Linked DNA regions of Yarrowia lipolytica. The protein of the gene in region 2 interacts with the protein of the main gene of each other region in a pairwise test. Links are inferred from orthologs where the notes say so. Each region holds a gene or a part of one and is shown on either strand. Other genes may lie near its edges.

Region 1 (7,067 bases), on a different chromosome or scaffold from region 2:
TCTTCGATTGGTGACCACCCGAACCAAGGTGTCCGATGTGACCGCCATCACCATCCCTCCCAATGCCGGAGAGCCCTACTACCGAGCTCTCAACCTGGACGCCATCACCGTGGACTCCACCATTCCCAATGGCTGCACTGCCGGTGTTCTTGCTGATCCCAAGACTGGTGTTGTGCGAGCCTTCTGGCTGTCCTGCATGGGCGAGCGAACCGAGGGCCGTCAGCACGAGTACCGACTCGGAATCGACACCAGCACCTTCCTGGAGACCGTGCAGCGAATCCGAGCCGGAAAGCCTCCCCAGGAGCGGTTCCTGGACGTTGAGATCGCCTCTGTGTCCATGATCCAGGCTCGAATCCGAGGCGTGTCTCCCGAGTGGATTGCTGCCGTTGAGCAGGACAACTCGCAGCGACACCAGCTGTTTGAGGTCATTCGAACCGCTACACCCATCAATGGCAACTCCCAGGCGCTCAAAGAGGGAGACATTCTGCTGTCCATCAACGGCAAGCTGCTGACGACCCTGACAACGCTCAGCGAGGCCGGCGACAAGGAGCAGGTGACCATCAAGCTGGTGCGAAACAAAAAGGAGGAGGAGATCCAGGCTCCCACCACGGATTCGGCTTTCGAGACCTCTCAGGCCGTCTTCTGGTGCGGAGCTGTTCTGCAGACCCCCCACCATGCTGTTCGTCAGCAAATCAAAAAGATCCACTCGGGCGTCTACGTGTCCAGTCGAGCCCAGGGATCTCCCGCTTACCAGTACTTGATTGCGCCCACCAACTTCATCACTCACGTGAACGGCACCGCCACTCCTGATCTGGAGACGTTCCTGTCTGTGGTGACCAAGATCCCTGACAATACCTACGTCAAGTTGCGTATTGTCACGTTTGACAACGTGGCGTTTGCGTGTTCCATGAAGATGAACTACCACTACTTCCCCACGGCGGAGATCAAAAAGGAGGGCAATGAGTGGGTTGGATACAGTTATAAGGACGGTAAGCGAGTCAAGGAGAGCGATGAAAATGTCGAGGAGCAGGTGAACGAGGCTGAAAAGCAAGAGTAAATAGAGACCCAAAAATGTATAGATTGCATGTTTAGTTACAGAGGTGTTATTGTTTGTAGTCTATGGCACGGGTACAAGTACAGTACTGTACGTTATGTAGTGTGGAGTGAGGCTGTAGTAATCGTAGTATGACATGTTGTGCTACTTGTAGAACAATACACTACCGCGCAATTAAGTGCTCGGACTCATCACCGATCTTATCATCTTGCCAACGACAACTGGTCACACGACTTTTCACTCCATGTATTCAGGCACCCCACATTCTCCACCTTGAGGATTACCCCAATATATTTATTATATGGAGAGCTAAAAGTACACAAGACATGACCCAACAAGACCTGGTGGCAAAAGCCATAATCAAGTGGAACATAGATTAACAGTGATGCTTGTCATGTGGAGACGCAGACGTGAGTGTGTGTGTCACCTACAGTAGATTTGTTGAGAAATATCCACTGTTATTGCAGTATCGCGCCTGGTACGAGTACTTGTTGAAGCTATCTGTAAGACCCTACATGGACCCTACATACCCTATCGTATCGTACATTTCCATATCAGCGCTTACAGTTACCCCAGAATGTTTATTACACGCTACTGGTCGCCACAAAGAGCAAATGTGGAAGAATAACACGCCAGAGGTTGCACTGGCACGTAGCAAGCAGGAGGGGAACTCGCAAGCTGCATCTACCCCTTATAATTATGTTGCAATAGTCTTGTTTTGCCCCATGACGTTCGTGGACCCGAGGTCACGTGCACTCAACAACCTTACTGGTCCTGTCTTTGTTGCATGGCGACGAAAGTCTCTGAAAGGCTGTAAGGCTATATATAATCAAAAAAGCGCCCCTGGGTCCGCTGTAATCAGAAAACACTCTCAAGAAACACAAATGCTCGATATCTGTGACGCCGACAAACAACAATTAGTGACAAGCGTGATTGAACAGTGCAACCGCGAGTCCAACGCCTCAGCATTTGGAGATCGACTCCATTATTGGTTGACTGGCGAGGAGCTCAAGCCTTTTGTGCCTGAAAAAAATGTCGGTCTTTTGGCCAACGAGCCCTCTTCAGATCGACAAGAGTATGCTCCTCGTGAGTCTGCCATTGAGTGGGACTCTGGTCTGTCCAGCCTTAACCCTGTGGATGCTGTTGAAATGATGGGTTATGGTGTCTATTTTATTGGTTGGTTGTTGCTTGGCCAGTAACCCCCCTCTGCTACAATTGTAGTATGATACTTACGACATTCATATCGCTGGTACTTTCGCAGTACCGCGTCTCCACCACGGCCTGAGTACAAGTGCTGTACCTACCCACGGCCTAGCTGTCCCATCAAAACCGTGATCTAAACCCCGCGCGCCCTATTTATTATTTGCAGAGTATGCAATGATTACATCTTATACAGAAAAATACATCAATTAATTTAAACAGCTCGGTACGTGCACTACGAACTTGTATCCGTCTGTACTGTACAGACTTCTCGTGCATCCAAGAGGGTTCTAATTGCTATATACATTAAGGGGATTGTTTGAAAGGCACGTACTTCTTGACATGCTTCTTCTGGAAACCGGTGAGCTCGGTCATACCGGTCTTCTTTCGCAGCAGAGCAGCGGACCATCCAGTGTTTCCGTGCTTTCGTCCGGTTTTTCCCTGAGTTAGTGGCGATCTGGAAGTTGTCATTGTTGATGTGTTCAGCTACAAGAGGTTATGAGTGTCTTGCTTGATCTGAGTGCCTGGTAAGCAACAAAAAAAACAAAAAAAACGCAGTGTGCGTAATCAGCCTGGTTGTGACAGGTAGTTCCGTGTCTGGTATCTCTTCTAGCTGCTGAAACAGTTAATCATCTCAGCTTGAAAGCTGTGTAACATAAGGCCATGATCAGATCAGAGGCAAAACTTTTCCGGCACTGAAATATCAGCTATCCACTCTATCATGGCTTGATCGGAGTCGCTCCCAGCATTCCTTTTTCCTTATTTCCCCTCCTCTCCATCCTTGTGGCACTCACTCTGGTGATCTTTCCACTACCACAGATCTTGATTCGGTTGGCAACGGCCTTTTTGGTCTTGACATGGGCGGACTTGCAAGTGTTTCGCACAAACATCTGCGCCACGTTGTTCATGGCCACAGTCGGCCGTAGCGACTGAATCAGAGACAGCATTTTTGTATGGTCGTGTATGTGTGGTGATAGAGTCTGATATTCCAACCGACGATTTTGCAAAACCTTGTTTGTCACGTGGCGAGGTTTTCTTGCAGTGACTTACACAGGTGTGTTTGGGGTACTGGAAGGTGGCCGATGACTTCTTGCGGCGAGAGGACTTTTTATAAATCGTTAGAAAGTGTTTAGATTTCCCTATAAAATCTGTCGAACTTCATCCTTTTACTAGATTTTAAAAAAATTCACCCGTAACTCACAGACACCCTTGCACACTTACAGAGAAAAGCCTGACTAACACAGACTTGATACAAGTGAGAAACTCGTTTTTTCACATCTTGGCCAGCAGAATCGTTCAATTAATATATACATTTACTTCTTCTTTTCATCCTCCTCCACGAGCTTGCCGCCGTTCTCAAACGGAGCCTGCTTTCGAGCCTCGTCAATCATCTTTCCAACACCCTTCTTGGCAAGAGCGGCCTGGGTTAGTAAATACTGTGAGTGGTACGCCGGGTACCGATCTCCTGAATCGATCCTAATTCATCTCCAGGCTGCCCTCTCCCTCTCCCTACTCACCTTGACGCAATCCTCGTACTCGTGCCACAGATCGGCACACTCGTTCTCCATGGACTCTCCCTTGAGGAACTTCTCCGAGTACCAGTTGTTGAAGCAGTTGTCGTACTCCTTCTTGGCTTTAGTGCATTCCGGGGCAAAGGAGTTCATTGTGACGGTCGAGTGTAAAGTCGAAAATCATGCTTCACCGAGATGCCTGTATGCAACCCAAAATGATTATGTAAGCGAGTATACCTGATTCGGCCATGAGCTGAACGGGAACGACCATCCACACAACCCTAGGCAACCAACCATAGTATTCAGATATATTAGTCTGTCTGTCTTACTCATTAATAATAAAAATTCGTTTCACATTATCGGCGGAAGGCACTCAAAGCCACCACAATCCACATTCTTCTTCTTTTTCCCGCCCAAGCTGCTATCCTGGTTGTCGCAAGAGACGGAGCTCATCACGGTAGCTACCAAACTATTGTTTCAACCATGCCGTTTTCATCACTCAGTTTACAAAAACACCTTGCTGGTGACAGCATTGGCAGCTCGTGTACTTTCCGTTATCTTTCGCATCTCTCCCTCTCGCAGAACCAGTCCCATGAGTAGGATGACCTCGGAAAGATGAGTGCCACCATTGAAAATGCTAAACTCGCCAACCCGGCGCTGCTTCTTCAGTCTGCCCTCAGTCAGATAACTGTAGGCTCCTATGCAAGGACCACAGAGGGTGTCTGAGTCTGGCAGCACATTACCCTGTCTCTCAGTATGTTCGGTGTCAACAAGCCGCAGATGAAAGAATCCAGAGCCATAAGTGTTGGCAATGCCCGTCGTTCCGTACCATTGCAACTGCACGCCTTCGTAAGAAGCTGTAGTCACCCGCCTGGTTCCATGGGTAACCATGGTGATGTTGTCCCGCTCGCTGTCCACAAAGGTGAGAATGTACTCGATACGGTCGTTGTCAAGTACCTTTTGTGTCACACTGCACAGAAGCGACTTGTAGCACTCGGTTCCAGACATTGACACAGCCTCGCTACCTGGGCTCTGCTTATCGTCCAGCCGGTAAATCTCCATGTAGGTCTTGCCGAAGAAATGCGTGGACACAGACAGAATGGGTTTTTTGAGGCCATCGTCAAAAACGGTCACTCCATGTCGAAACATGGCCGAGTATATGCTGTAGACATCCCGTTCTCGCGGGTCGCCTTCAGGGGTTTCAAACAGCGTGGAGACCGCGGACTTGTTGTCGTCAAAGAGCGTTTCGTGCGAGGAGCGGGTGTCGGTGCGCTCCAGTGGTGCTCCAGCCTCGCCCGCTGCGCTGTTTTTCAGTGCCTTTTTCAATAGTCGCTGCATTATAGAGCTTGGTCAGTTTATTTTTTGCGCCTGAAAAACGCACTTGAAATTTTAGGAACTAAACGTTAGTGCATGACTGCTGCACTTGGCGCGTGACCCAAATGGCTATTCAGGTTCTGGGCAAGTTCTGGGCTACCCCAACCCCGACTTCTCAAAAGGGTATGACAGAAGTCTCAGAATAACATTTCAAAATACAACCACAACATTGCATGGGAAGGAGAATAATAATCTAAGACCCAGGTGATGGATTCCTGCAGGATGCGATGCTGCAGGTCAAGTGCCAGACCTGCTATATGATATAATGCCTCTTGAGCTCTCTCTCCCATACTACATACGAGTCTCACCTATTCTTCTCTCAACACCTGCCAGGGTGGTTTATACGACTTGGTTTTAACACCCAGCGATTCAAGGTAGGGGAACCAACTCTGTTCATCGCATTTGAAACCTAAAGGCGCGTTTCGCGCTCTGAATCCAAAACAGTGAGAGTGTCAATCATCACAAGCAGATTGAAGAGACGAGACGTAAACCCCAACCAAGATGCCATCACGACCAATGGCCCAAACCGTGGGAGCCGCCCTCGTTATTGGCGCCGACGACACGTCGCACTACGAAATGACCCGTGATGAGTCCTTTGTCATGTCGGAACAGCGCCGAAGAGCTTTCATGAGAGCGGTGCCAAACTACTCGTCCTCCACGCTCAACACCGTCGCCAGCGAGAGCTATTGCATCCCCGAAGACGTTTTGCATGCCGCCGGGGGCACGTCGACTCCAGAGAAGAAGCTGAACCAGCCCAGACAGCCTTCTGGAAGCCCTGTCCCTTTCAACACACATCATCAGACCACGACAACAACACATGCCCAACAACGGGCTGCACCAACTACACAGCATAACAAGAGTTTACAGAACTCCTCCTCCACATCTACACTTCGAGACTCAGACCTGGACCGCTTCGAGGACGCCGAGGAAGACGGAGATGTGTCTCTAGACTCGCCAGACACCTCAGCCGAGGTGTGCGTTGCCACAGTAGCTAGACTGGCTCCACCTAGTACAGGCACCCGGGGCATTTTCCACAAGAATGCAGGCATAGGACATGGTCTCGGTCACCGGCCACAACAGCCCACGGTGGCTCCTCGACCACAGACGCACGACCCACGGGCAAAGGTGAAACCCAACAACAACTCGGGGCCCTCCGGAGTATATGCTCGTATCAAGATGAAGGAGGTGGAGATCGAGCGACAGTTTGACGCTTTGGTAAGACAGACGGTCAAGAGCAAGAAGGAAGGACATGGAGGCATTGCAGCTGAGAAGCCACGAGCCGCCTCGGACAGTGCATCGATTAGCTCAAGGGAGTCGCACGCATCACGGGCAGACCGAGTGGCCCAGCTGCAACAGCAGTCGGACAAGCTGTTTGAGTTGTCACGTGCAATCACAGTGGAGATTGATCTCATCAAGAAGATGGGGCCGACCACGACATACAAAAACTTCTCTGCCAACACTGGAGGCAGGTCGACGAATCTGACCCAGAATCTGGCTGACCTGGAAACCAAGAAGCAGGCCGTGGAACGAGAACTGTACCAAGTCGGCCTGCTGTTGTCTCGTCAGTATATTAAGATGAGAGAGGAGGGTGCCAGTGAATACTGGGTTAGAAGTGTTTCCAAGTAGGAATAAAGCACAACATAATTTAATAACGGATATTAATTGAGGATACGAAGAATTGGACCGGACCTACCCATGTACAGTAGCGTACCAATACAAATATAGAATAGCTTAGAATATACTGTATATACATACATACTGTACCACAAGTTTTTACTACTGGTACAAGTGACTATAACACAACTCACTTACAGAACCAACACCAGCATATATCTATGTACAGTATGTGTACTGTAGTCTTGAAAACACACCGCTTACTTGTAGCAGACACCCGCTATTTCAATACCATGTAATCTGTCATTTCCATT
Region 2 (7,234 bases):
AAGCCTACGACACTATCAGCCAGAGTTGGGTGATAAAGACGCTTCGAAATGTGGGTGTCTCGGAACTGATGATCAACCGTATCCTAGCTGTACAACAGAACGCAGTAACGAGAATCAACATCAGAGGTGTCCTATCTCGCCCAGTCCGCATCAAGATCGGAGTGAGACAAGGATGCCCTCTCTCTCCAACCCTCTTCATCATCGCAGTAGACGCACTTGTGCGTCGTCTGGACCGAGAGATGTTTGGACTGGCCCCAGGCCTGCCACTATCCCACCACCACACCACTGGGCACAGGCCGCCACAACCCCCTACTCACCCGGAGGCAGTGGCAGCTGGACACATGAAGGTGTCGGCTTTCGCGGACGACATAGCGGTGTTCCTCAACAACATCCAGGACGTGGCCACGGTTGGTAGAGTGCTCTGCCTCTTCCAACGGGTCTCAGGCCTCACACTAAACCCGTCAAAGACGGTGCTTCAGAAGATCGGCCCCCCCGATTGTTTTGTTCCACTAACCTTTATTGACGCAGAATGGCAGCGAACAATTGACGCCACCTGGCCAACCGACAACAACACACGACAGGCCCCGACGCTCCGGACATCTGACAACATTTTCCGGTACCTCGGAGTACACTTCGGAAATCGCGAAAGGTTGGACACGCACTACGCTCAGATCAAGGAGGACCTCAAGGAGTCGCTGCGACGCCTTTCACTATGGGGTCTCCCCTATTACAGCAAGGCGTGGATGATCAACATCTACTTCTTCTCGAAACTGAATTTCCTTGGACCCTACGTCAGCCAGATCGACAACACCTTCATCCGAGAGCTGAACGAACTAGCGTGCGACAAGATCAACAAATTATCACCCGACAAAACACGCAAAACCTTCAGCAATGGTTTCATCCAAACTCCGGTAGGCAGAGGAGGACTGAACCTGCGGGACATGGGACGTTTCATGGTGTGCCTGAAGGCCGCTCGGGCTTACAGGTTCTTCCATGGCTCATCGCCGGCCCTTTGGGACTGCACCTTCCAGTTCTACAGCAGAACTCACAGTCTCACACAGGAAAAGCCACACCAGCGCGTCGACTGCCGCTTTCCGACAGGCCAAGCTTGGGGCTACGCAGCCTCCCCCACCATGCGAGACGCAATCAGAGCTTCTTTCGAGCTCAACAAGCCCCTCACCGCGGAACATGCCAACCCTCGAGAAGATCACGAGCCCTCTACAACAGACACAGTTAATCACAGAATCTGGGAACGAAACCAGGTGAACGTGAGAGCAGCAGAATCTTTCCGGGAAGCACACGTCGACATCGCAGCCGCGAGACGATACCATCCGGTCAGAATGGTGTCCACAGCGGAAATCGACCACCTCCGGTGGAGCATGGGACCACTTACTCTAGAGAACTTCATGTTTCACAAGACCTCGTCTCCCGACTTGCCAAACTTCCCACACACACTTGCACGACCGAAGAAGTGGACTCAACGAAGCGACTACGGGGGCATCTCTGACGACATGGTCTGGCAGGAGGTAATGCATGACCTTCGAAAACACTACATCGCCGACGCCAACAAAGCACAAGTTCTTCACCTCATGCGGATATCTCGACTTCCGCTCGTGAAATGGAGATACCCTGACGACCACGTTTTCACCAAGAAGAATCCAGGATGCGGGCTCTGTGATAAGGCCATCATTCAGGATCTGCACGAGCATATCTTCTGCAAGTGCGAAGTTCTTCTTTCCATGTTGACCAGGATGAAGATTCCGTCAGTGGACTCTCTAAAGGACTGGATCTTTACCGAGTCGAAATGTGGAGTACTCCCCTCTTTCCCAGGGCATGTGAACAGTGACGCCCCCCGGAAACATCAACAAGTCAAGACACGCAAATATCTGCGGGAATTGGCTTATGGGATCTGGAAGATGGAGAGATCCCTCCGGTACTCAGGGGACGACGCCACCCTGGGACATGTCCAACAGGGTTTGCTTCAATTCCTGAAGGAAGCCCAGATGTGTTTCTACGATGGACAACCGCCAGCACTTCACGATGAGCGAGAGTAGACACAGTAGCAAGCGTAAAAGGCGGCCGAGGCCACCGAGAGAACAGCGTAGCAGGGCGCGTAGTCACCACAGGGGACGCAGAACCAAACCAATGACGAAGAAGAACCACAAGGAGAAGTTTTCAAAGGCAATGCAAATGAAGAGGGCAATGGAAGGATTGAGATTAGAGAACTGGAGACTGGAGTGGCGTTTTCCCGATGAACGAACAAACACGCGAAGCTATGTGGACCAACATACAACACGGACTGAACCAGGTTTTTTTATGATTTTTTTACTGGAAATAGGTACGTGCCAAGTTGGACCATGACACTAAACGTGTTTAATTAGTAATATTCGTGTAAGCGTACATTCATTTCAAAGGTTATTCTTTCACGGCAAAGTTATAATTAAATGAATGTATATGCAGAAAAAAAAAAAAAAAAAGTATATGGAAAAAAAAACTGTACTTGGAGAAAATGCCCCCTCTAACTTCAGATTTGCAAAAACATCTAAAACTCGAAAATCGAATAGAAGAAGACACAAACCATTCACATGTGTATTTATCGTCTAAACTACCCTATTTCCCTGTTTTCCCTCACAAAATACAACTATAGCGGCGGTACTCAAAGTCGAGAAGATTCATCCACTGTTCAAACTAAGGTTTCTCATACAACTTGCTGGAAAAAAAGAAGCAGCTCATTATCGCAGTTTTTCTTGGTCAAATTTCATTTTTTAAAGTCCCTTTACCATAATATACACGTGAAAAAACCACTTCCTTCTCCATATTTCTTACTCGTGTCTTCCCTAACCCGAAAAATCACATCTCCGACACTCGGGCTGCTTATGCACGTGCCGATACCAGACATGACAAATGCGAAGCCGATTCCGATCTGGTATCGCGGTCGGATGTGGTCCCAGTGGCGGTTTGCGGCTGGGGCTTTTGCGCACCAAAAAATAAAAAATAAATAAAAAAAAACTCGCGTTTTGGGGCAATTTTCGCCACGAGCACTTTTTCCGGACTTTTTCCGGAGATTCCAGTGCGGCATGAGCCGGCTCCAAATTTAGTGCCCGAAACGTTCCGGTGCGGGGGAGGGGTAGGGGTTTTGTACACCAAAACGGGGACAATGGGCAAGTTAAAGATACGGTTGTGATCAGGGAGAGTGTGGTAATTGAGCTATGTATTTTTTTTCGCGATCCGACTTCAATTGGCCGAGTTAGATGAAGGGTCGCGTGGGCAGTGAGACTCGGGTCGTGTGAACAGTAAAGTTTAAATTGGCAAAAAATATATATGGAAAAATGGAAAAATGGAAAAATGGGGAAAATATATACAAGAAAAGAAAAAAGAGCATCAGCCACCGAGAAACGGCAATTTAGGACGCGTCAAAATTACCACACAACAAGAGCTACAATCGTCAAATATTGTTAAAATCGTTAGTATGTACATGCATCTATAGAAAGGCCGAGCTTGCGCAATTGGAGCGGTTCGGGAATGCTTTTTTGGGGTGCTATGCTGTTGTGTTCTTGAGTGGTGGTTGCTGGTGCTGTCTCGTCAGAGAGGATATGCAAAAAAAGAGACGACGGAGGAGATCACAGACACTTAAGACAGGGAGACGGACTCTCGGGCGAACACGTCCGAGTTGGCCACCTTCTGCAGGACGCCCTCGAAGCCGGCCTTGCCCTTGATGGCGTTCTGGCCAAATCGCTCCACGGTCCAGTCCTCAATCTTGTTGCAGATTCGCTTCCAGGAGGCAAAGGCGGTAATCTGGGCCTCCTGGTCAAACACGGTCTTTGTGGCGGGGTTCTCGGGGTCGGGCGAGTAGGTGCAGGTCTCGAACACCAGCAGCAGGTTATTCATGGTCATGTTGGTGGATCGCATGACAACGGTTCGTGCCTTGGGGTCGACCTCGGAGACCTCTCGGACGTACGACACCTCCTGGCCTCCTACCAGCGCAAGAAGCCACTTGGGGATGGACTGTTTGCAGGTGATGAGTCGCTCGGTTCGAAGCACGCCGGACTTGGGGTCCACTTCTCGACGCAGAACATCCACCGCAATCACATGGGTGGACACCTCGTTGGGGTACTTTTTCCAGTTGGCGATGGACACCTGTTCCCACGAGTAGTTGAAGTAGTGTCGTGAGTCGAAGAATTTCATTTTATGAGCTTTCTAGAGTGTCTTTTGCTGTGACGGTGGTGGTGACCGTTTGTAGGCCGGGGCAGCTCCGCTCTATATACTGGGAGAAAAGTGCCGAAGCTTAAAGTGAAGAGATTTTGAGACAACTTTAATAGTGGGCGAAAAAAAAAAAAAAAGGCAATATAAAAAAGAGTTTGCCAGTACTCTGCATCCTCTTACCCGGGTTTATCGAGACGGCGTCCCAGGCGGCGCGGTGGGGTATATTGTGGCGATTTTGGACCTCGGAAAGAACTCACCTGGGATCAAGTTTGCGATTTTCGAATTTTCCCGCCGAAAATCGGCCGGGTAGCCGCAAAATGGCCGCCTCTTATCTCTGTTGCTCCCAACCTCGGCCCACACTGATAATAGTCATTCGGTGCAGACTAGATGCACCCGTAGAGGTTATCGGGCGGAATGTGACTGGCGGAGTGAGTCAAGTGATGAATCTGAGACTGGCCGGAGGAGACAATAGTCACGAGCAAAAAGTCGGTACAGCTTCGGATTGTTCCGACGTTCGACCCAAGTTCGATCCGCCGTAATACAGTCATAAAAGAATGGCCCTCGGCACACTCTCAATCGGAACTCGGTACTCCCCTGAACAGAACGTAGTGAACCGCGAAGAAGACCGTCATTCCCTTCTTCTCCCTACTTGTAGACTGCCCGCCCCCAACTCAATTCATTTGCTTTCAGCCTCACCAAGCTGGCCAACGGTCGCCTAGGTTTGTGTTTATTTTCTACCGTTGTACTATCGTAAACCCCTCAACCATACGTGCTGGGTCACGTATTGTGGAACAGTTATAGTCCAGACTGTGGGTCTAACGGAGCCGTTTCTGGCTCCGCGAAACTATGAGACAAATAGGCGGATGATGGTTTCCAGATGTGACCAAGTGCATTGTACATAGTGATGCGTATTTGAACACCACAAAGTGCACCTCAGTCCCTGAAAGAGCTCAAAACAACAGATTTTGTGAGAAAATGGTGACTGGGGAGTTCAAAAATCTATCTGCCCACCCTGAAACTACCCGTAGATACCCTTTTCTCCCGGTTAATCCATCCAGAACCGCCTCAATATAGCTACCTTTTTTACCCACGCCCCAGACTGAACAACCTCTTCAAAATACCCCCCTGTCTCAGCTCTCATTCGTTTCAACGTCTCCCGCCTCCCGCCTCCATCCCATCCAGCCCTCCCAAAACTCCCGGCTCCAATACGGTTCTTCTTTGCGTGGATAAAGTGTGATTGCTTCGATCGACAGAGGCTGAGCCGTCACATGGTGTGCTATACTGCTGACTAATGTTCTGAAGTTGCGACCAACTATTGTTTCAACCTTTTCTCAACTCCACCATCACCTTCCATACTCTGTCATACTCTGCCATACTCTAGACGTCTCCGTCGGACGTATTATGATACATAAATCACCAAAACATGGAGAGGGCTGGACCTAGGACATTACACAAGCAAGATACAAACATGAAAACTACACCAATGGATTCTCCTCGATTGTTAGAAGACAGCTCAGCTTGGGGCTCTTTTTAATCCATCCACTATGGTACCAATAGGACCAATCGTATCAATCGTAATACAAGTATAAATACCCTCACAAGGCATCAACTTCTCTTACTATTTGTACATTCAAAATGGAATTGAATTGCAAATCAACTCTTGTGTCCGATGTCAAACTCAATGGATCGCTTGCTTCGCTCTAGTGTTCGGATTCCACACTTTTCTGACGCCCACGGCCCAGACGCAGCATTACGTCATGATCGACACTAGACGTAGACATACACAAGAGATCGAGCAAGCAGTATTGCGCAACAGAGTTGGCGATAGCCCGAAATACAATTATCGGGCAGTCTCAATAATTGAGACGGTGGCCGGTACGGTAAAGAATACTTGTCTATCTCAAGGCAGATGTCTGAGTCTGCAGAAGGCAGACATCTGAGTCTGCAATTGAGCAAAGTAATTAGAACCGTGGAATGCGGAGCAAACCGATCGGACTGATTGGACTGGAGGGCTCGTTGGATCATTTGACTCGCTTGACTGATTGGACTCGCTGGTATCTCAATAACAGTTCGAGGTCGAGCGAAGCAGTATTGGAACTCTCCTGAGACTGGCTTCAAGTACCCACTGTACTGTACCTGAATACATTGATACAGTATGTACTACTTTTACGGTACTGTACCCTTCCCACCGATCTCCAGTTTCGCGTACTTTTGGTGCACGAGCTCGAGGTTCCTCCGGAGGGCTCCCTCAAACGAGAGTCCTCTGGAGGAACCTCCAACTGAGGGAGCTCGGGTCACCTCCTGCATCACTCATTCCGTTGTCAAACAGCATCTTCCGTTGTCAAACAGCATCTGATGGGCGAGAGTCTGAAACTGCGGGCCGAGATCGCACTTCATTGAGCCAGTGTCACCAGCTGTTGGACTTTTCGGACGCAACAGATCCAGCCACTGAACAGCATCTTGAGCAAGCCAGCCGCCATTTCCCGAACACGTCCATGGAGTCGTCCATGGCGATCGAAGCGACACAAGAGACATGGCAGGGACATGTCGCAGAGACTTCTAGAGAGTATGTATTGTAGCCATTAGCCATGATAGCTAGTTGAGGAGGTTCTATCCAGAGCGGAATGCTCGTGGTACGGTACGAGTTCAGCAGAAGAGAAACGAACTGAGACGAGAAACGAGCTGAGACGAGAACGAACTGAGACTCTTCAACTACAGACTCGAATTAAAGAATACTCAGCCGTGTCTCATATCTGAGTGCGACCCTACGATACACAAGTATCCAACAAGTCCAGGAGAAATTTCGCATATTTTTGGTAAATAAATGAACATATCGACAATGGCACCGACAATGACGTTTCCGACAATGACACCGACAATCACGTTTCCGACAATGACGTTTCCGACATTGACACTTCCCGATAACATCACCATTATTAAACTCGAAATTAAACTTGTTGCGAGGCTGCGATAAGGCTGACCACTGCACGATATCAATACGACCTGCATCTTCATCGTCATTCCACCAGAC

Evidence for each region.
Region 1: the proteins of YALI1_D23785g (region 2) and YALI1_F39176g interact in binary tests that used the Saccharomyces cerevisiae proteins (3 or more experiments, as listed by UniProt). The link is inferred for Yarrowia lipolytica from reciprocal best matches to the Saccharomyces cerevisiae genes UPS2 and MDM35.

Annotation. Positions count from the first base shown.
Region 1 is NC_090775.1:3,914,485-3,921,551, reverse strand, and holds YALI1_F39176g (uncharacterized protein), read right to left. Parts: upstream 3,919-7,067; coding exon 3,772-3,918; intron 3,676-3,771; coding exon 3,568-3,675; downstream 1-3,567. Other genes in the region: YALI1_F39236g (uncharacterized protein), read left to right, coding at 1-1,057; YALI1_F39199g (uncharacterized protein), read left to right, coding at 1,570-2,253; YALI1_F39183g (uncharacterized protein), read right to left, coding at 2,561-2,695, 3,049-3,201; YALI1_F39164g (uncharacterized protein), read right to left, coding at 4,270-5,103; YALI1_F39159g (uncharacterized protein), read left to right, coding at 5,641-6,765. UniProt on the Saccharomyces cerevisiae protein: Involved in mitochondrial distribution and morphology. Mediates the import of UPS1, UPS2 and UPS3, 3 atypical mitochondrial intermembrane space (IMS) proteins lacking the two major IMS-targeting signals, into the intermembrane space.
Region 2 is NC_090773.1:2,375,410-2,382,643, reverse strand, and holds YALI1_D23785g (uncharacterized protein), read right to left. Parts: upstream 4,186-7,234; coding exon 3,631-4,185; downstream 1-3,630. Other genes in the region: YALI1_D23845t (uncharacterized protein), read left to right, coding at 1-2,054. UniProt on the Saccharomyces cerevisiae protein: Required for mitochondrial cristae morphogenesis and MGM1-processing. Controls the stability of mitochondrial phosphatidylethanolamine (PE). With UPS1, controls the level of cardiolipin in mitochondria.